4 linked regions of the Rattus norvegicus genome follow. The protein of the gene in region 1 interacts with the protein of each later gene in a pairwise test. Links are inferred from orthologs where the notes say so. Each region holds a gene or a part of one and is shown on either strand. Other genes may lie near its edges.

Region 1 (5,003 bases):
AGCCCTTCTGGTCCTTGCCTGGCTAGCCTGTGTGCTTCTCTTCGCCCTCCAGTCAGTGACAACAACAGGGTCCAGTCCCAATCCTGCTGTTAGTGATTGCTGGCTTTTCTCTCTTCAGCGCATCTGCAGACCCTGCTGGCCTACCTTCAAAGTGTGTTCAGGAGTTGATAGCCTGTCACATTCCCATAGCCCACAAACACAAACTATCCTCCTGAGCTCACTCAGTGGAAGCCAGTGCTCAAGGTGGCTCCCAACCTGCTCTTCTACTCTGACACCCAGTGCTCCAGCCACACGGGCTTCCTAACCACATGCAGGCCAATGCTCCAGGTCAGGCTTCCTGGCGGCTGCCCCTCCACTTAGGCTTTCTCTAGTCCACTACTGCCTCTAGGGCATGTCTCTTCTCCTCACCCACCAACTCTGGCACCTGATGCTCCTCCATGCTTCTGCTCGCCCCAGGGCCTCTCCTCTGTCAGCTGGAAGTTTGTCACTTACTGTGGGACAGCCGATGACCAATGAGAAAGCCCAGCCCACCCTGCTCTAGTCTGCCTTTGGGACCTTCTCCAGAGATCCTCCTCTACCCTTCCCTAAGATCTGTGACCTGTCTTAGCTACGTAGGCCAAGCCCTCCCTCACCTTATTAAGTCTCTGCAACCATGGCCTATCCAAGAGACACAGGCACTGATACTCCAGGCCTTCCTTCCGCACACCTTTTTTTTTTTTTTTTTTGGTTCTTTTTTTTCGGAGCTGGGGACCGAACCCACGGCCTTGCGCTTCCTAGGTAAGCGCTCTACCACTGAGCTAAATCCCCAGCCCCCAGGCCTTCCTTCCGACAAGAACCCTTCCAGAAACACGAGAAAACATCTTGGGCTTCTTGTCTTCTTTGCCTCAGGCCACGTGCTCCCTTCTCCTCAGGCCTCTGCAGTCTTGAACTTGACACGTGTCCCAGAGCTATGAAACAGCCCCAGCTGTCCTGGAACTCGCTCTGTAGGCCAGGCTGGCCTTAACTCGGAGATTCACCTGCCTCTGCCTCCCAAGTGCTGGCATTAACCACCCACCAGGCACGTTTTTAATATTCTGGGTTTGTTTTTACATTTATCTGTTTGTGGTGTGTTTGTATGTGTGTGTAAAACCTCAAACCATGACAAAGAGTGTGGAGGTCAGAGGATAACTTTCGCAAGTCGGTTCCAAGGACCAAACACACATCGTGACGCTCAGTAGAAGACTCCTTTACCTGCGGCTGAGCCTCTAAGCCTCTGAGTCTCTGGGCCCCAGCTCTTGTTTACACTGTGCTGCACTCAGCCTAAACAAATCACAGCTACCGCTCCTCACTCTGCTCACACTGGGCTCAGTGTGGATGCCAACCAGGTCTGGGTTAGGTGCTGATTGCATGGGATTGTGTTTGACGCAGCAGATGGACGCAGTGACCCCACCAATGATGCTGTCACTCAGCCTCCCGGCCTGTCTCGTGTGCAGAGAGTGCTTTCAGGACTCTCACCTCAGCCTGCGGCTCCCCATAAGTCTTCAAGTATCTGTCCCCAGACGTCTGCCGGTGAGTAAGAGTGGGAGCGCTGGCACCTCAGGAGGCAGTCGACTGTGGTCAGAACGCAGAGGCTAGAGGAAGCCACCCATGCCCTGCCTCATGGTTCAGGATCAGAGGCAGTGAAATTAGTCACTTAGAATCAGAGGATAGATGTCTGTCTACATGCCACACCGACCAGCACTTCCTCTGCCACCCCATTTGGCTGATATAATGGGTGGCTGAAACTATGTTCCACCTGCAACTGAGTCTAGGGCGAAGTCACACCCAGACGGCAGGGTGGGTCCCAGCTCGGAGCACAAACATGGCTGGAACCTAGTGCAGGCCCAGAGGCCCTGCATTTTAATGTCAGGGCTCCTCTGCAGACAGACCTACTGCATCTGGGCCTGGGGTTCTCAGGCACTGTCATGAGGCACTGAGAGGCACAGGGACTTGGCTCCTGTGCAGAACAGGCTGAGCAGGACCACAAGCTCACAGAGCTTCCAGAAGGGCTGGGTCACCTTGGGGTAGCCTGAGAGGCAGTGATCATTGGCCCATAAGGCCTGGATGGCCCTGAACACTCTGCACAGCTCGGCGGTTGTGTGTTATAGTGATGGGGAGGAGGGGAAGAAACCAACCACAGTTCTAGCCCAGGGGTTAACAGGTGTCTTGAATGGAGGGGCAGCATGGAGAATTAGGACTGGGCTCTTCTCAGCTGGGACCTCCGAGGGCACATGACTCAGGCCACCTCTGTGGCAGGGAATGGAGGATACCCCATTGTAGGTCCAGTAAAGAAGGTGACAAGCATCCTGCTGGGCCCCAGGACGGCCAGGGACAGCTTCAGTACCCCCGGGGGGCAGCTTGGCCCTTGTTCTCCAGGCTTGCAAGGGGGTCTGCAGGTGAGTCTGACGAGTCAATTGTCTGGTAGGCACTATGTTCCTGAGAAGGTCCGAAGAAATCTAGAGGACAGGGAACAAGTGGATAGAGAAAATGAGACCATGGGGCCTTCTGCTAAGCACAGACAGATCCACCATCTGCCATGGCTAGTGTTTGGCATCATGATACCAAGGACAATGGGCAGTGGCAGAAGCCCAGACACCAGGCCTTTACCAAGCAGCGTCCACTCAAGCCTAGCATCGGTATGGGTGGCTCTGCAGATGAGAGAAATGCGAGGGTCAGAGAGACCGGCTGATTTAAGACCCTGTGGCATGAAGCAGATGACACTGGGGTCCAACCTAAACAGCAGCTCCTGTGGTCAATGGCTACTGTGTCACATCTGCCCCGGAAGCACACGCTCAGGTACCTGAGGAGGGGGTCAGTCCTGAGCCCACAGACTTTCTTCCTGCTGTCTGCCAGGCGCTAGGACCCATATAAATCACCATTTCTAGAAGCCACAGGGCCTGACACAGTTGCTGTACCCAGAAGGCTGGGGCTGAGAGTACAGAGCAGGACAGAAGGCACCTGTGTCTCTCACATTTCTCCCTCTGTATATTTGCCCTGAGACCATGGACAAGTCCCAGGAGCAGTGGACCTTCCTTCTCCTGTCTGATCCCTTCACACCCGGGCAGGTCTAGGTGAGCACAGAGATAAACCAGAATGGGCAGCCGTAGGCCACTCTGGCACTGGCTCAGCACTCTCTCATGGGATCCTCAGGTCACCTGGAGACCACACCCAGCTCCCACAGGAGAGCAGGGTCAGAGAGGGCAGGAAAATGGCTTGGCCCGCCACCAAAGAGGACAGCGTGGGCTGAGCCAGAGTCTAGAAGGCTGGTACACAGGGCTCCCTGGCCTGCCTGCTCAGAAAGGGTACGCCCCACATGGCAGGAGCGCACACCTCCAGAGGCAGGGCTGGGTGGAAACAGGAGGAAGGAGTTGTCCCCACAGCCATCTGCAGCCCCGCAGCAGAGGCTCCTTGCTGCCACAGCGAGCTGAGCAACTCCACGCCTCCACTTGTACTCTGGACTGAGGGAGGGCCACCAAGTCTGCCTGACAACAGGAAGAAGTCACACCAGACTGGTGGCTGGGCCGGGGGCAGGCGGGGTGGAGTGGGACTTACCCGAGCGGAGCGGGAGCTCACCCCCTCGCTCCCGGTGCATGTGGTAGACGAGGCAGCAGGAGAAGGGCTTCAGCAGCAAGCTGAAGATGGCCATGCCGGCACTGAAGCGGCCAGTGTCCCCAACGGCAACGCTTGAGTAGAAGATGCTAATGTAGATAATGTCCAGGAAGATGGTGGCAACCAAGCCACCAAGAAACTGCAAGGAACACCATCACAGGATCACGGACACTGACACCCAACCAGACCCCAAGTTTCCCTCACACACACCAGGCTGGTGACCGGCATCTTGTGACTGACACCTGCATGGTCTAGGAGCATGGACACAAGAGTCTGGCTCTAACCTGTTGCCCCATAATTCCCCACCCCCATCTCCTGCCATTGAGATCATGAGGGGCCTATCTCCAGAATTTCTGAGAGGGACACTTCCTTGGAGCCCATAACATCTGGTCTCGCTGCAAGAAAACAAGGGAAACAAACCCCTTTGTAATTCTCCTAAGGAGACACTGGGGTTCTGTGACCTCCCCCCATGTCTGTCTTGGGGGGACAACAGCAGAGGTGGGTCGCTGTGTAGCTGGCCTGGCTAGGCTTGCCGTGTGCAGGGCTTTAGAACAGAAAAAGATGGGGTGTGAGGAAGAGAGAAGACTGGGGCAGATGAGGGGCCCACGGATGGAGCCACCTCCCCACCGCCAACTCACCATGCCAATGGCATCAACAGAGTCCCGCTGGGCCACAGCCCACACACCCAGGGCCAGGATAGTGAAGTTGCCCCAAGCATAGGAGCCTGAGAACGCCAAGCAGCCCCTGCATAGAGAGACACTATCAGTCACCGCTTTGAGCTGCCCACCCCTCCCAGTTCCTTCCCCTGCTCCAGGGTCTTAGCCACAGGTCTTCTGTGTCACTCCTGCCCCCTGCAGGCAGTTCTTGAAATAGCAAGCAGTGTGTGAATCTGACCATGTGACTCCTCCACTCCAACCTTTCCACCGTTTGGAATGAGATACCTTTTTTTGCTGTACGCTATGGGGTTCCCACGAGAGCCCCACCCTTGCTCCTGGCTGCTACACCCTTGAGGTTCCGTTTTCCTGAACACACAGCCATCTTAGAGCTCAAGCGTTGCCTGAGAGATCTGCTCCCATGCTGACTGACCGAGCCCCTCCCTGCTGTAGTTTTCAGATTACCTCCATCAACTGCCATCACCTACTAGTCTGCTTGTTGAGCCGGCTTGTCACAGTTAACACAGGGCCCTTCCTGGGACCTGGCTCTGCCCTGCGTAGGCATTCTATACTGATAGCGTAGGTATTCTATACAAGAGCTCACAGCTGCTCTTGGCGGGGAGGCGGTGTTGTGAGCCTCATTTTATAGACTCAAGTCACAGACCTAAGTGACTAACCAGGTCACAGGCTGCACAATGAAGGAGCACGAGGACACACCGCTCC
Region 2 (5,003 bases), on another chromosome or scaffold:
ACAGGACAGGGCTTGCACAAGGTCTTTGGTTCCCTTTCTAGTATGGAGGACACCAAAACAAACAACGTCTGGGATGGTGGGGAAGCCTATGACCTGTTACTCAGGAGGATCACAAGAGGGTTCAGGGCCCATCTGAGCTAGGTAAGATAGGCCAGCCTGGACAAGTTAGTGGAAATTTGTCTCAAAATAAAAAGCTTTCAAAAAAAAAAAAAAAAAAAGAGTGAGGACATAGCTTGGAGTAGGAGAGCACTTGCTTGTTGAGTGTGGGAGGCCTTGGTTCAATCCCTAGCACTAAAAGAAAACACAGCAGAACAGAAATTAATGTTGCTTTCCCAACCCCTTCCAACGAGGCTGAAGTAACTTTGATTACAGACAGCAGACACTATGCAGAGTGACAGGCAGTACAGGAAAGGAGGAAGACTGACCTCATCATTGAGCCAGTGATAGTTCTTTAAGGTCTGGATATCTCCACGGGTGATTCGTAACTTGAAAGCGCTGCTCAAAATCTCATCTGGAGGACCATGGCCCAGGGCATTACTGATTTCCTTTTCCATGTCCTGAATTAGACGATGCTACATTAGCACAGAACCACTATCAGGTATGGAAAGACTCAGACTGAAAAAAGCCTTTCATCTCAGCAACACCTGACAATCTTTGAGGAAAATAACGATTCAACATCTATGAAACTGCAGTGTAAAAACATTCAAATTTACAACTGAAGAACAGTCTTAGGAAGTTGGATGGTGGTAGTGCAAGCCTTTAATCCCAGCACTTGGGAGCCAGCGGCAGGCAGATCTTGAGTTCAAGGCCAGCCTGGTCTATAGAATGAGTTTCAGAACAGCCAGGGCTATATAAGAAATCCTGTCTTAAAAAACTAAAATGAGAACAAAATTGAAAACCAAACCAAACCAAACCAGTCTTAACAATGGCTATCTCCTTGAATTATTTTAATAATTTATGCAGCTAAATGTATATTTAGCTTACGAACCCAATCAAAATGGTTGTTCTCATTTTCACCCAATTTTGTTATTGTATGGTTTGATCTCTCTACCTCTAACATGGTAAGCTTTTATGTTCATCTTGACAGGACCTAGAATCACGAGAGAAAAGAATTACAGCTAGGGCCTATCTGCATCTGTTGCCCTATGGGTACAGCTGTGGCGTTTGTCTTAGTTGAGCCAGCAGAGCCTGAGTATGAGGAAGTAAGAGGTCACGCGTCCACGAGTGGGTGTGCCGTGCCCAGCTGGACAGATGACCTCACACCTGCGCATGTGAGCTGCAGTTGCAAGCTCTTTCCCCAGGACTCTGCATATTATCCTGGCAGGCAGGAGAGATGAAGCTACAGGAACTTCATGTGCTCTGCGCTGTACGCGTTAGAGACATCTACACTAAGGGAGACCCCTCCACACACACCAGGACAACGGGTTCTTGATTCAGTATGAAGAATCCCTTTTAAAGTAAGAATTTTAACTACTATGAGGCTCACAGCAAGAGGACTGCCATGAATGCCGGAACAACCTTGACTAAGTAACCACGTAGACCTAGTTTCAGAAACAGAAAAAACCTAAAAAAGCAAAATCAACCAATAACCGAAATAACCAACAACCAAAAAACCCACCCAAACCAGTTATACCTGATTCACCAGGCCACCCTCACAGACCAGGAATGATCAATACAGACAACATAAGCAGACCTGGAGGTTTTGTTTTGTTTTGTGTTTTTTAAACTTCATATATTTATTACTTATCTGGAGACATTTCTCAAAACAAAGCATGCACTTCAGTTTAGAGGAGCTGTGGCTCGTCTGAAAGTCATCTAACTCTGACCCACACAAAGAACTCTACCTCTGTAAGTTCAAAGAGATCTTCTGTTCTTCTGTCCTTCTCTTTGCTTGGGAAGTTCTTTTCCTTTGCCTCAAGCACTGATATTTTCCTTCTGAGTAGGCCATTGCTTCCACTTCCCAGGCGAAGCCGGGCAGACACTTCTTCTGACAGATCAGGCTCCAACTGGTGTCCTCTTGTCTGACCAAAAAAGTTTCAACACTGACAATGCTTAATTTTGTACATATAATACAACAGTGCATAGAATACTAAACACTGCACAAGTTATGGAAGAAGTTAACGGTTTTCTAGTTTTAACTCCACCATGGAATTCTACATTGGGTAGTGACGATGTGCAGAAAGACATACTGGGCAGTGAAAGGGAAGACCCCACGTGACACCCCATGGCTTCCCTCCCAAGCAGCTTCCCTAATGCACAGCCCACTGACAGGCAGACTTGGGATCCAGTCAGTTTTGGTGTGTGATTTTTTATAAGGTTTATAAAATTTAAAAGGAAAAGCAAAAGTCTGGCATTAACTTGGAGACAAATGAATATGAGATTTAGCAGCTGTCCTGAGGGTGAAACAGACTCAGCCTGCCTGCCTCCTGCCTGCTGCCTGCCTGCTACCTGCCTGCCTGCCTCCCACCTGCTGCCTGCCTGCCTGCCTGCCTGCCTGCCTGCCTGCCTCCTGCCTGCCTCCCACCTGCCTCCCGCCTGCCTGCCTGCCTGCCTCCTGCCTGCCTGCCTGCCTGCCTGCCTGCTGCCTCCCACCTGCCTCCTGCCTGCTGCCTGCCTCCTGCCTGCCTCCCGCCTGCCTGCCTGCCTGCCTCCCGCCTGCCTGCCTCCTGCCTGCCTGCCTCCTGCCTGCCTTGGTTAAGGTGAACACAAGACAGAGTTAAACACAGGTCCACAGGGCATATCAGTTACAAACAGAAACACCATTCCTCTGTAACTAGGAAGGAAAACATTTTCAGTTCCTATCCCATTTTAAAATGTAATTAAAACATGTTTATGAAGTTTAGAAAGGTACAAGGTGTGGCCTAAAGAACATCGCTCACAAGAATCTACTTGTTTTTTTAAGATTTATTTATTTATTTATTTATTTATTTATTTATTTATTTATTTATTTATTTCATGTATGTGAATACACTGTCATTGTCTTCAGAAGAGGGCATCGGATCCCATTACAGATGGTTGTGAGCTACCATGTAGCTGCTGGGAATTGAAATCAGGATCTCTGGAAGAGCAGCCAGTGCTCTTAGCTGCTGAGCCATCTCTCCAGTCCCGAAGAACCTATTTCTTATTTAAAGTCATCCTGTGTTAGTTAAAGCTGCTTTACTTATGTATTCCTTTTTCTGTGTAGGGTTGGAATCTGAGGCCTTTAACATGCTAGGCAGACACTCCCTCTGAGCTGTATCTACCCTCTATCTCATGCTAGCACTGTAGTAGACGATGTGCTGAACAGGAGGTTATCTCCCATGGCCGCTGATTAAACCGTGCATTCTCAGTGAAAGCCTCTACGAGGACTGGAGATGGGAACAGAATGGAGCTCAGTGGAGCTTGCCTGTACACACGAAGTCAACACCTTACGAGTTTGTTAGGAAATGTACTTAAAACAGAACTTTGGAGTGGAGCTATGGAGTCTCAAGACACCAGTGAGCTTTCTTCATTCTTTCTGACTGCCTGGTAGTTCCCATCCACTCTTTCCTTGTTTTATAAAAAGACTAGCTCTCACTTTGTTGTTTAGACTGGCTTAACTGTCTAGATTTGGTTCTCCCTGACTGCTAAGATTATGAGCATTCTGTTTTGACTAAAAGGAAGATAAATGACAATTAAACATAAAGCAGTCCATCTGGAATCGCTGGAAACAGAGAACATTAATTAAATAAGGGAATGTTTTACGACCATTTTTATAATTCTATATAAATAAAAATATAAGTAACAAAAGTTTCAGTTGCATTTAATTAAGGAATATATTTCTGCATGGGGTGTGGCAGTGTACACCTATAATCCCAGCAGAAGGTCAATTAATAAATTAATTAAATCAATCAAGCAGGAGGCAGAGGCAGGTGGATCTCTACAAGTTTGAGGCCAGTCTGGTCTATATAGTAAGGCTGCATAGTAAGACCATGGGGGTAGAGATGGACTGGATTTCTGCCAGATATTAAATGTTTAACAAAATAACATTAAAAACCTGAACATGCCCTACAGAGACACTGAAACTCTGATTCTAATACTTACACTAAGTAGACTGGGTAGTGGTGGCACACACCTTTAGTCTCAGTACTTGGGAGGGAGAGGTCATGAGTTTGAGGCCAGCCTGGTCTACAGAGCTAGTTCTAGGACAGTTGGGGCCACTTCCTTGTTTCCTGTGGCATCGAATGTCAGTCCGGTGAAAAGGTGACAAGGCGAACCTAACATTTACAGGGCTCCTACTTACACCGTCCTTTTCAAATCGGAGTCCCACCACCTTCTCTGTGTCAGCTTTTCCTTTTGAATACCTGCGGAGGATACCATTACAGATTTACAGAGTTCTGCTGTTACACGTGGTTCATGCTAGTTCCACAAGTAACATTTATTAACCTGTTAATAGTGGAGCACATCTGTAATCCCAGAACCCAGGGAAGTGGAGGCAGGAAGACCAGTAAGTAGTTCAAGGCTACATAATGAGTTTGAGTCTACCCTGGGCTAAATGAAACTGTTTCAAACTTTTTTTTTAATTTTAAAATTAGGATTTATTAATCTCTAAACAAAACTGGCCTTGGGAATCCTGACACTGCCCTGTCTCTGCTTCCTGAACTGCCATAAACAAAGCGTGTCATTCTAATGCTTTTCTCAGCATGACAGACTGACTTCTCTAAAACTGTGAGCTAAAATAAACCCTTCCTCCCTTACAGCATTTGTGTCAGGCATTTTAGCAGCAGTGGAAGGAAACTAACATGAAAATCAAATGCTAGAAAAGTGGGCTTGCTGCTGTGACCAACCTCTCTGTGGCTCTTGCAATGTTGGAACTAGTCTGAGGAAGAATATGAAAAAAAATGCAGATTTAGGTCAAAGAGACACTCTACAATGCTGCAGTAGGAGAGATTGACAGGTGCTGGCAAGACCAGACTGAGGAGAAATGCAGACACTGGATTATACTTGTTAGGTTCAGACAGGGCAATGATACTACTATGTAAGAA
Region 3 (5,771 bases), on another chromosome or scaffold:
CTTCATCAAAGCCATGGTCAAGGAGGAGCCCAGCCTTGCACACACACATTCACTGAGAGATGACTTCAACTTAGTCAGGAAGTCAGGACCTCTACCCGGCCAGGATCTGCTCTGGGCACTGAGGTTGCCCAAGAGCACGCAGAATAAAATCCGAGCTGTGTGGCTGAAAGCAGATCTAAAGATAACTAAGGAATGAGTGTCTTGTAGACAGCGGGAGAAGGTTCCAGACAGGGAGATCTACAAGTATGGAGGCATGAAGGCCCCGCCCACCTGTCATACCTCAGGACTGTTAAGTTGGCAAGTGATAGGACAATGGCCACATAGGGTTAGGTCTCAAGGGCCACTGGAAATATAGGGCTTTTATCATGATATAAAAGTGTTGAGCCGTTGTCTGGCTTTTTTGAGATATGAGCTCATGGGATGGAGAGATGGCTCAGAGGTTAAGAGCACTGATTGCTCTTCCAGAGGTCCTGAGTTCAAGTCCCAGCAACCACATGGTGTCTCACAACCATCTTCTGGGGTGTCTGAAGAGAGTGACAGTGTACTCACATATATGAAATAAATCTTAAAAAACAAAAAACAAAACAAAACAAAAAAAAAAAACCAGGATTGGGGATTTAGCTCAGTGGTAGAGCGCTTGCCTAGCAAGCACAAGGCCCTGGGTTTGGTCCCCAGCTCCGAAAAAAAGAAAAAAAAAAAAAAAAAAAAAAAAAAAACCAACCCAGGCTGGCCCTGAACCCATGGTGGTCTTCCTGTCTTAAGTCTCTGAAGTACTGAGACTACAAGTAGATCTCACAGACCTAGTGCTTGAAAGGTTATGAGCAAAGTGATGCAGTCTGACCTGGGTCTCAGCAGAATCATGTCTGCCATGCCGAGACCCAAACCCCTGTCCAGGGAGCTGGGAACTCAGACGAGAGTAGCAGAGGAAACAGTAAGAAAGGATTTGGGGGCATAGCTGTGGGATCAAGACAAATCAGATAATGTCTGACTGAACAACTGAGCAGGGTAGGTCCTAGAAAAACAGATGGTCAGCCTTGGAAATGGGGAATTTGAAAGGCCCACAGTGGGAGTAGAGGGAAAGAGACTGGTGGATCCCTGTGAGTTCCAGGCCAGACGGATCTACAGAGTGAGTTCCAGGACAGTCAAGGCTATATAGAAAAACCTTGTCTCAAAAGTGAATGAATGAATGAATATGGGAGCTTAAGCCACAAAAGGGCTCATGGCATAAAGGCACTGGCTACCAAATCTGACACACACACACACACACACACACACACACACACACACACGAACTTGAGAGGCTGAAACAGGAGAATTGTGAGTCTGAGGTTGGCTACATAGCCAATCCTTTTCTCAAAGAGCTAAAACAAGGGGAAAATGAAGCTATGAGACTAGATTTGGAAAAAAAAAAAAACATTAAATCAATTACTTAAAAGAGATCCAAGGCCTAGGGAGGCCAGAAGAGGGCATCAAATCTCTGAAAGGAGGAATTATAGATGGTGGTGAGCCACCATGTGGGTGCTGGGAATCAGGCTTCAGTTCTCTGGGAGAGTAGTCAGCACTCTGAACTGTTAAGCCAGCTCTCCAGTCCTAGTACACGTGACTATTAGGGACTGAAATATGACTATTTCAAATTGAGATGTATTATGTATAAACATTTTAAGATGAGGTTTACACATCTGTTAGGAGGTTGACACAGGAGGATTTCTGTGGATTTGAGGCCAGCCTGGGCCACACAATACCCTGTCTCAAATTTTTTTCATTAATATTTAAAATGTTATGTTTTAAAGATAATATTTGTGGTATATTGTATAAATTTATGATTCTTTTTAGTTTTTTGTCTTTGTTGTTGTTGTTTTGTTAAGACTGGGTCTCACGTAGCCCAGGAGGGCCTTGCAATGAATGATCTTACTGTCTTCACCTCCTAAAACCTGGAATTATAGGCGTGTCATCAGGCCTGCTCTCTTTACTTTTCAGCTTGGTTACTGGAAAATCTGAAATTAGACACGTGGTTTGAATATAAGTTTATTACAGCTTTCTTTGGCCTCTTTTCAAGGTTATTTTCTCACTGAGGGATGGGGGTGGGGACGGGGAAGGACAGAGGTCAGAGGGACGGCCAAACGCGAGGCAATGCTGCCCCCTAGGGTCTATCCAGGAAATACACAGCTAAAGTACACTAAAGCTTGCCCCTTGCAAAGCCTTGTTTAAATCGCTTTCAAGTTGACTTTCTATTCCAAATACCCACGACTCCTGTCCACCAGCTCTCTCGAGTGCTGCTGAAGTCCCATGGGTGTCAGACATTGACTTGCTGACACAGGTGGCCAAGTCGTGTAGTAAATAAAGTAAATGAGGCGAGGAAATCTCTAACCAGACGAGGCTCTATTTTAAAGGCCTTGGGATCCTTCCCGGTGGGACCTAGAAGGTCGTAGGAATCAGTGCCACCACGTCCCCTTCTCTTCCCCGACCCCCAGACCACTGCTACCTGGAGGTAGCTTTAAGAGCTCGAGCTAGACTCATTGCCTCTTCTTCCCCTCTCGCCCAGGTTTACCTGCAAAAAACTCGCCAGGTCAGGAGAGGCGAACACGTCCATCACTTCCATGGCCCCAGCGCTGGCCTTGCTGACTACTGGAGTAAGCGGACAGCTGCAAAGGTTCCCCACGATCCGTGTTAAACCCGGAAATCTCAAGCCCCGCGCCCTATACACCCCCGGGATCCCCACCAGGTGCTTAGGAACTTGGCTCCGCCTCCAGCTGGGGGGGGTGGTGGCGGGAGAGGGGCAGAGTTAAGGGACGTCCGTGCCTGTTTCTCCGGCTGGTGATGACCCTGTCTACTCCGAGGAAGTAAGCGGAGCGCATCACAGCCCCAAGATTGCGGGGATCCTGGATCCCCTCAAGGACGAGCCACAGTTGCTGAGGGTCGTCGCCTGAGCTCGTGTCTGCCGCCTCATCGCAAGGCCGAGGTCGCAGCCGGCTGACCTCCATGCACACGCCCTGGTGCACCTGGTAGCCACACAAGGCATCCAGTTTCTGCCGCCTGGGCCTCAAGACAGGGATGCCCCGAGCCTCGGCCACCCGGAGCAGCTCGGCCCGCTCCCCCTGCAGTCCAGCCTTACCGGCCTGGAGCAGGAGCCGGGCCACGTGCCGGCGGGCGGCCCGCAAGGCCAGGAGGCATGGGGACACGCCAAACAGACGTTCCAGCCTCTGGGCTGGCGCCAGGTCATCAAGAAGCAAGCGACTCAGCTCCTCCCCGCCAGGCCGCTCCCCGGGCCGAGCCACGGAGGAGAAATGGCGGGCAACGAGGCGATTGAAGCATCCGACCGTCCAGAGGAGTAGCATTGCTCCAGCAGCGCCCGGAACTCTGTAACAGACTGCTGGGGAGAACACGTTAGCCTCCCACACCTCGTCCCCGCTCAAAGACTGCCCACGACCTGACACTCGAGCCTAGACAGTCGCCTCCCAGACTCCCACGTGGGTCCCCAGCTTCCGGGTTCTGGAGGCCCAGCCCCCTGTCCGATGACGCACGCGTGGGCTTGGCGGCAACCATGTCTCCACAGCACCCCCAACAGGACTGGCTCGCACTGCCTCCACTGACGCTGGCGAGCTGAGAGGCTGTGCAGATGCTGAGCTAACCTCCCTACCTTGGACTGCTCTGGGTAAAGGGAGAAGTCAGGAGACTGGGATAGCCGCATTCAAGAACTCATCTGCAAAAACCAACTTATGACAATGGTTCGGCCACCTGTTCAATTGTCGGTCTTGGTGGCTTCCTACATCCAGGCACAATGTCATAGTTGGGACTTTATCTCAGAAGCTTATCCTGTCAGACCCTCAGCACTAGCCAGCAGAACTCCAAGAACATTTCCCATCTTCCCACGACTGAAATGAAAAGCCCCAATGAGCCTATCAAGCGACCGATGCCCTTAGCCCACAATAATGCTGGGACTCCTTTGCTCACTGCTCAGACTCTACTAATTCTTTTCAGCCCAGTCTTTTTTTTTTTTTTTTTTTTTTTTTTTTTGTTCTTTTTTTCGGAGCTGGGGACCGAACCCAGGGCCTTGCGCTTCCTAGGCAAGCGCTCTACCACTGAGCTAAATCCCCAACCCGAGCCCAGTCTTTTAAAATATCTTTTTAAACTTTTTTTCCCTTTTCCTAATACTTCTTCTTCTTCTTCTTCTTCTTTTTCTTTTTCTTCTTCTTCTTTTTCTTCTTCTTCTTCTTCTTCTTCTTCTTCTTCTTCTTCTTCTTCTTCTTCTTCTTCTTCTTCTTCTTCTTCTTCTTCTTCTTCTAATGTGCATTGGTGTTTTGCCTGCATGTATGTCTGTGAGGGGGTTGGGACACCTAGAACTGAAGTTACAGTTGCAAACGGCCATGTGGGTGCTAGGAATTGTACCAGGGTCCTCTGGAAGAGCAGCCAATGCTCTTAACCTTTGAGCCATTTCTCCCCTCCCCCCACCCCTTTTTAAATCAATGTCTCACTAAGCAGCCCTGATGGATGGCCTGAAACTCGTTGTGTAGTCCAAGCTGGCCTCAAATTCACGGGGATTCCCCACTGCTTATGCTTCTCAAATGTTGGAATTAAAGGTGTGCGCCACTCTACCTGGCTCCAACTTATTTTATTTTTCGAAATTCTTTCACGTGTGTGGACGTATTGTCTGTCTGTATGGCTGTGCACTACATGTGTGTCCGGTGTCCCAGGAGAAGAGAGGAGGATGTAGGATTCCCTGGGACTAGAATCAACCCATGGACTCTGGGAATCAAGCTTGGGTCCTCTAGTGCAGCCACTGTACGGACTTATTCACTTGTGTGTTTTGGAGACATGTGTATCCTTGGCTCCTTGGCTGGCCTCAAACTAACCATCCCCTGTTCCTACTCTAGAAGCCATGTTCCAAATCCACCCACCTTTCCATTTCCCGGAAGAAATTCTGAGACACCAACCACACCGATCACCAAGGGTGAAAAACCTGAAAGATACTTCTGAAGGCAGAGGAGGTTGCAATCTTGCTCTTTAATTGTGGTGAAATGTAGGAGACAGACCCTGATACTCTGTAGCAGTGGGGACCCCAGAGAAAGGGCCAAAACCTGGCTGGAAAGCTGAGGGAGGGGAGGGTTTGGAAAGGGGAGCCTGGAGCCCTGGACAACCATACAGGTAAAAGATGAGGCCTCTGCTGCTCCTACACTAAGGGGTAGGGGGTAGGGTACAAAAAGGATAGAGCAACGCCCCTTTTAGCCACATCCTTTTCCTAGGTCACAGGAGAGCAAAGGTGAGGGAGCCCCAAGAGGGGGACTCGGAAGAAGTTAGATAAAATAGTTGCAATTACATCTTCTCTCCCAGCCCATTTTTTTTCACATTTGTAACGGGAATAACCTGACGAACTGTCTGTCCCTTAGTGAGGTGGATATAGAAAGTAAGATCCAGGGCCCAGAAGTCAACACCTAAAATCCAGAGGCAGGAGGCAAGCCGTGAAGGGTCGGGGAGGTAGGCACTCCCCACAGAACACTAGGTCACCTGTTCTGTGGGCCTCATCTGGATGTCTCCAACCTGTGGAAGGCAGAAGGCTTGAGGCTGGCACCCCCTTAGCTTAGGGACTCCCTGCTGCCCCTCTGCTGGGCACGGCTAGGCTCTTCCCAGTGGGGAGACAGCTCCTTAAGGCCACACTCACCTGAACATGTGGAGGGGTGCTGAGAACATAGATGACAGCCTCGGCCACGTCCTCTGGTCTGAGACACTGAGGGCAGGGGTGGAGGGTGTTGAGACAAGAGGAGTCCTGACCCTGA
Region 4 (5,679 bases), on another chromosome or scaffold:
GAGATCCGGCCATGCTCTAATATTTTATTAAAATCATACAGAACTTTTGTTAATGAAGTGAGGTTTGATGCTAGTCCATTTTGAATCCTATTAGGAAAGGAGATTAAGTGAGATGAATTATACACAATAACATCAAGCATTCTTAAATAAAAGAAGAAATAAAAGCCGTAACTTATTTACAAATTAAAATGTAAATGGACATCAGTTTTAAGTACAGATTCCTGTTCCCAACAGTATCTTGCTGATGAGTCCGACCGCAGTTATCTGATTTTGCTCTGTATATTAAAGGCTGGATCACTACTCCTCTGAAGTCAGCCTTAAATCCTCAAACCTGCATTACACACATTCTGCAATTATTAGTCATTTGGCAAGTGATTGCCACTTGGCTTTAAGTTTGAGGAAAATTCTCTAAGGATATGATAACCGAAATGGGATCTACAAATTGAGGCCTCCAGAAAAAACAGTGTCTAGTACAGATGTGGAAACACATATTCTGGTTATAAGAAATATTTAGAAGCAGAGAGATGAGTTCAGACAATGCGAAGAACAGAAAGACCAAGACAGCTGTAGTGTGGCTGAGGAGGCACAGTGGGTGGCTGAGGTTATAGAAACTGGGTTCTGAGATAGGAATTTGTCACTTAAAAGTGTAATATGTGATGATGATTTACAATTTGGAGAGAGAAAGAATGTTAAAGGTTGTTAGAAAGCTGATGCAAAGGATTTTTATGTCAGAGACACGGCAGAAGTATGACAATTAGGAATCAGTGTCTAAATATATTGTAGATAGGATTCTGAGGATGCTAAAGGGTTGGAGAAAGTACGGCAAAAAGGAAAGCATCAAGGAAGTAGACTAGTTGAATCTGAATAAATGAAATGATAGAACTGCCATTTAGTGGGGCAGTAAAAGTAAGCTAAGGTAATAGAAACGGGGAAATGACTTTAGGGGAGAGGAGAATACAGGAGGGGAGGGGAGGGGAGCTCTATTTTGGACACAATGATGTGATGCTATTGCTAAAATTTTCAATATAAGTCAGAGTCATAATTTTACAGAACTTAATCAAAATGCTGGGAAGAAAGAAGTCTCTCCTAATTTGTTTTTATTCTTTCATACAAAACATTCTAATTGCAGCCTCTTCTCCCTCCCCACCTCCCCCAGATCCACACTGCTCCTCGGTTTCCCTTCAAAAAAAGTAGGCTTCAACCGAACACAATCTCTCATATCAAGGTTAGACAAGGCAACCCAGAGGGGTAAAAGGGCCCCAAGAGTGAAAGAATCAGAAACGCCGCTATTCCACTGTTAGGAGTTCCACAAAAACCCCAAGCTAAACAACCACAACATATATGCAGAGGATCAACGCAGGTTCCGTGATAGCCAATAAAGTCTCTGTGGGGCCCTCCATAAACCCTGATTAGTTGATTAGGTGGGCCGTGTTCTTGTGGTGTCCTGGACCCCTATGCCTCCTACAGTCATTCCCCACCCCCCTTCCACAGGCTTCTCCGAGCTTCCTCTACTGCTTGGGTCTCTGCAAGCTCAGTTGTGAAAATACACTGAAAAGCAACAAGTACGTACTTTCAATAAAGCTCAATGACAGGTAAGCGGTGTGTATTTGGGGGACACAAATTCAGAAAGCGTATTCCGCACGCAATACGCTTCTCTGGACGCGAATTAACTGCACTTAGTTCAATAGTGCACAACTAGGAAATCTACACTGAACCGCTTTTACTGTTAAAAAACTGAAGTTGGGACTGAGCGACCTGTACTTCACTTCCTGGCTTTCAGAAGTTGACGGATGCCGGCCCGCCTAGCACCGATGTGATGCGGGTCGCTCTCTGCCAGAGTTGGATCTGCACTTACGTGAGGAAACACTCGGGTCGGTTGGTGGCTTTTCTGACTTCCCTCAGACACCGTTCAAGGGTCTGTCGACGAAACACGCGGGGCGCCATAGCTATACACTACGGCGCCACACGAGGGCTGGGAACCGGCCGGAAGTCGTACCGCAAACACTTGCCTCAAGCAACCTGCAGCTCAGAGCCTAAGGTTCCGCCACACACAGGTTCCGGCCCCTAGCAGCAAACGCTTCTATTGGGCATGCGTAGGGGTGGAGCCGACCACCGAAAAGGGCTATTGGTCATCTCAAGCGTCTTGGCTCTTTCTCCAAATGTTTTGTATTTCTAAGAGAACCGCAGTGGTGTCGCGTGGTCGCTTTCTGCTTTTGCATTCGATACAATAAGTATTTTAATGTAACGGAAAAGAAGGTCACCCTATGCGGCGTCCGCCACTGCCCCGTTTTTCCCACCCTCTGTAGCCGTCAGTCAAGCTCCGAGTCTTGTTACCCCGCCCCAGGCCCCAGGCCCCGCCCCTTGCTCTCTTTCCGCCCCCATCCCCAACCCCCTTCAGCCGTCTAGCTCTCTAAAGGGTATTGGGGCACTGCCTTCGAGCCCCACCCTTGTCCTGTTTTCCACGCCCACCTCAGGCCCCGCCCCCTGCCCACTCTCCTAGTTGTCTTTGCCCGGGGTCGCTGTGCAAGCTTGTAGCTTCAGGAGATGAGGCTGGTAGTGAAGGCCGCTGCGTTGGCTGCAGGCGCTACAGGTGAATACCGGGCACCATCAGGGGCGCCGGGTGCGGGGCACGGGAGGCTGCGGGAGGCCAAGGCCTGGGTCTGAAGTGTTGGGCTCCTGGAGCTGCGCTCCTTTTAGCACGGGAGTTCCTTATTGTCCTTCTCTGTGCTCAAGGGTTGCCCTTGGCAAACATGGACCAGACAGGTAATCTGCCTAAGAACACAGGCAAGGCAGGACTTGCAATAAAGCTGGAGGAGACTCGAGTTATTAAATGCCTCCTCTAAGAGATAGGAGAAAAGGGCAAAGTGGCAAGTCCTGAAAGTCTCAGTCCAAGCCAGTTTTATACACGTACCACACTCAATTTTTTCATCTGACATGAGCAGGAAAGGAGCAAGCAGAAGGATTTGTAAGTTCCTTGAGTTCTTTCGACCTCCATCTCATTAATCAAGAAGCAGAATCTTGGTGACAAATGCCCAACTTTTCTGCCTGTCTCACTTTCTCTTCCATTTTCTTCCCTTTCTGCATGGTGGCAGTTACTGCCCTCCGTCTGAGATTTTCAACTTGAAAGAAAGTGTAAGGCAGTATCATTCCAGAGTTCCTGTTACATTTGCGACAAATCCATTAGCCTGGAAAGTTCTGTCTGCTCCTCTATTGAAACTAGTCATCTTTCAAAGTCTGCTCTCAAACTGAATTTGGTTTTTGTGGAACCCTCCAGCCTTTCCAGCCAATCACAAAATTCCCTGTCTGCCCTAACAAACAAGGCCCCAAGGCAAAATCATGAGCCACAAGCCAAAAAATAAAAAAAGCCAACCCCCCCAAAACAACATAACACCTTAGTACAACTGTGTGTATGTATGTTTATAAGAAAGAAAATATCGTAGTGAAAGCCAGAGCACAAAAGTGGAAATGATTTTCTTTTTTTTTTTTTTTCTCTCTTTTCTTTTTTTCAGAGCTGGGGACCGAACCAAGGGCCTTGCGCTTGCTAGGCAAGTGCTCTACCACTGAGCTAAATCCCCAACCCCTATGATTTTCTGATTAACAGTTAATGCTGAAGTTTTGCTAGCACTCCCTGTTGTCATAGTTTTCTATATGATCAAATAGATCAAATAGAAGCCACCTTCTTAGCTCACCCATCATACGTCGTTATTATCTACTATAGCAGAATCACCCATTTTCCCTTATCAAGCTCTCTCTTAGAAATTAGGCCCTGCTTGTCAGACATATTACTAATGGTATTAAACATTGAGAATCTGGGCTGAGACTAGCAGAGATGCTAGAGTGCTTTCCCAATGCACACAAAGCCTGGGTTCATTCCCACATGAACCAGCAGGGCGGCGCACACCTGTAATCTCAGCACTTGGGAAGTAGACACGGGATCAGAAAGTTCAGATCCATCCTCAGGCACAACCGCGTCTGAGGGCCACCCAAGATTCATGAGACGATCTCAGAGTAACATAAGATTCTTTTTAATTGAGAAGAAAGGGGCCGCAAAAGATTCTGGGTATAGTTTCATGGAGCAATACTGGTCAAGCATATGCAAGGCCGTAAGTTCGATTCCCAGCATGGAAGAAAAAGGAAAGGAAGAGCGCCGTAGAGGAATGAGCTGAAATAATAGTTTCTCAACATCAACTCTGATGTCTGACAGACCCGGGCTCAAGGCCCTGCTTTGCCGCTTAAAGTGATGTTGAGGAAAAGAACCTAGTCTCTAGAGGCCTAATTCCACATTATCCAACCCACAGGGTCACAGTAAAGATTAAATAACACAGGTATTCAGGGTGCCTGTATCATTATCTTTATTTTGTGGCCACGTAGACTAAAAGGCAAAGCCAGGCTATGGTACCGTGCCCCTCCCCCACCTTGGCATTTGTGCTTTTGCAATGTAGTTTGGAAGGACAATGGCTATGACAAGGTTTCATAATGATTGATGTGTAAGTATAGAGGTGAAGTAAAACCATAGGTCTGTACTAGGGAAAGGGTAGAATCCAACATGAGTCTTCCAATTCTGTCCTTTGCTGCTGCTGAATCGTAGTGGTTGGGAAAACATTGGGGGGGGGGTTTCTATAACTGAGGCATAGAGTAACTGAGCAGTGGGTAGGAGGAGCTAGCTGGTTTATAGATTGCTCAAAAGTAGATTTATTGTTTAGTCTCCATTTCTGTAGACTAGGAAAGGTCCCCGTGTGATAAAATGGTCATAAGTCATATATGTGAGTCACAACAGTTTTGTCGTGAGGCTGGAGACCAAACGCAAAGCTTTCTCATGCTAAGCAAGTGCTCTGTCGCTGAGCTATCCACCCTGTCAGAGCCGGAGGGTTATAAGCAGCAGCTTTTAACTCCAAAACTGTAATGTGTGTCCCTTTAGCAAAAAGCAAACACAGAGGTGAACTCCATCAACATGTCAGAAGTCAGAAAATACTTGAACACCTTCAGCCATTTCTAAAACCGTACCCCTCAGGATACATCTTCCAAAAGGAAAAGACCAGTTAGGGACTGGTGGGAAGTGCCTGGGATCTTAGAAGTTTGGGAGGTGGAGGTAAGAGGACATGTGGCCTGCCACTGGAGCGAGGTCCCAGGGTGACACCCTCAGAGAAAAATAGCAGTCCCTCTCCTCCCCGCTATCAGTCACCAATACTCGTCAGCCAGAGGAGGGACTTCATGCCCACCCACCTTGCTTTCCATGTTGGGATCTTGTCTGGATTGACTTCTTTGCAGGTCTTTTGTACGCTGTCCTGAGGAATTGACATGTGAGGCTGCACTGCCGTATTCTTTGTAGTCATCCACTGCTTCTGGCTTTTACACTCCCCCCACCCCCCACAGTAATCCCTGAGAAGGTGATGTGATATATATAATATATATGCTCTATGTAGGACTGAGCAGTACCTTTACTTTCTGTACCTTGATGACTTTCAAGTCTGTGTTAAACAACATCTACTTAAACAGAAGCTTCTCTGATGAGGGTTGAGAGGTGGACTAATGTATGGGTATAATAATAAGTCATTAAAAGTGACTTTAACACTAAGCCCATTTAGCAGACTAATAGTAGTAGGGCCTATGACCTATCTAGCCACAGTTTTATTCATTGATAATGGTGTCGGGTATGGGCTGAACTTATGGAGTGGCGCT

Evidence for each region.
Region 2: the proteins of Agtrap (region 1) and Senp2 interact in binary tests that used the Homo sapiens proteins (3 or more experiments, as listed by UniProt). The two-hybrid records come from large-scale screens. The link is inferred for Rattus norvegicus from reciprocal best matches to the Homo sapiens genes AGTRAP and SENP2.
Region 3: the proteins of Agtrap (region 1) and Mrm1 interact in binary tests that used the Homo sapiens proteins (3 or more experiments, as listed by UniProt). The two-hybrid records come from large-scale screens. The link is inferred for Rattus norvegicus from reciprocal best matches to the Homo sapiens genes AGTRAP and MRM1.
Region 4: the proteins of Agtrap (region 1) and Mcee interact in binary tests that used the Homo sapiens proteins (3 or more experiments, as listed by UniProt). The two-hybrid records come from large-scale screens. The link is inferred for Rattus norvegicus from reciprocal best matches to the Homo sapiens genes AGTRAP and MCEE.

Annotation. Positions count from the first base shown.
Region 1 is NC_086023.1:163,791,149-163,796,151, forward strand, and holds the end of Agtrap (type-1 angiotensin II receptor-associated protein), read right to left. Parts: intron 4,372-5,003; coding exon 4,266-4,371; intron 3,767-4,265; coding exon 3,571-3,766; intron 2,475-3,570; coding exon 2,356-2,474; 3' UTR 708-2,355; downstream 1-707. UniProt on the Homo sapiens protein: Appears to be a negative regulator of type-1 angiotensin II receptor-mediated signaling by regulating receptor internalization as well as mechanism of receptor desensitization such as phosphorylation.
Region 2 is NC_086029.1:92,497,557-92,502,559, forward strand, and holds part of Senp2 (sentrin-specific protease 2), read right to left. Parts: intron 4,323-5,003; coding exon 4,262-4,322; intron 2,022-4,261; coding exon 1,845-2,021; intron 573-1,844; coding exon of another isoform or gene 558-572; coding exon 426-557; intron 1-425. UniProt on the Homo sapiens protein: Protease that catalyzes two essential functions in the SUMO pathway.
Region 3 is NC_086028.1:70,190,655-70,196,425, forward strand, and holds the start of Mrm1 (rRNA methyltransferase 1, mitochondrial), read right to left. Parts: upstream 3,478-5,771; 5' UTR 3,336-3,477; coding exon 2,800-3,335; intron 2,643-2,799; coding exon 2,549-2,642; intron 2,416-2,548; coding exon of another isoform or gene 2,380-2,415; exon of another isoform or gene 2,011-2,379; intron 1-2,010. Other genes in the region: Dhrs11 (dehydrogenase/reductase SDR family member 11), read right to left, coding at 5,576-5,722. UniProt on the Homo sapiens protein: S-adenosyl-L-methionine-dependent 2'-O-ribose methyltransferase that catalyzes the formation of 2'-O-methylguanosine at position 1145 (Gm1145) in the 16S mitochondrial large subunit ribosomal RNA (mtLSU rRNA), a universally conserved modification in the peptidyl transferase domain of the mtLSU rRNA.
Region 4 is NC_086019.1:127,373,939-127,379,617, forward strand, and holds the start of Mcee (methylmalonyl-CoA epimerase, mitochondrial), read left to right. Parts: upstream 1-2,414; 5' UTR 2,415-2,544; coding exon 2,545-2,590; intron 2,591-5,679. Other genes in the region: Mphosph10 (U3 small nucleolar ribonucleoprotein protein MPP10), read right to left, coding at 1-87, 1,856-1,944. UniProt on the Homo sapiens protein: Methylmalonyl-CoA epimerase involved in propionyl-CoA metabolism.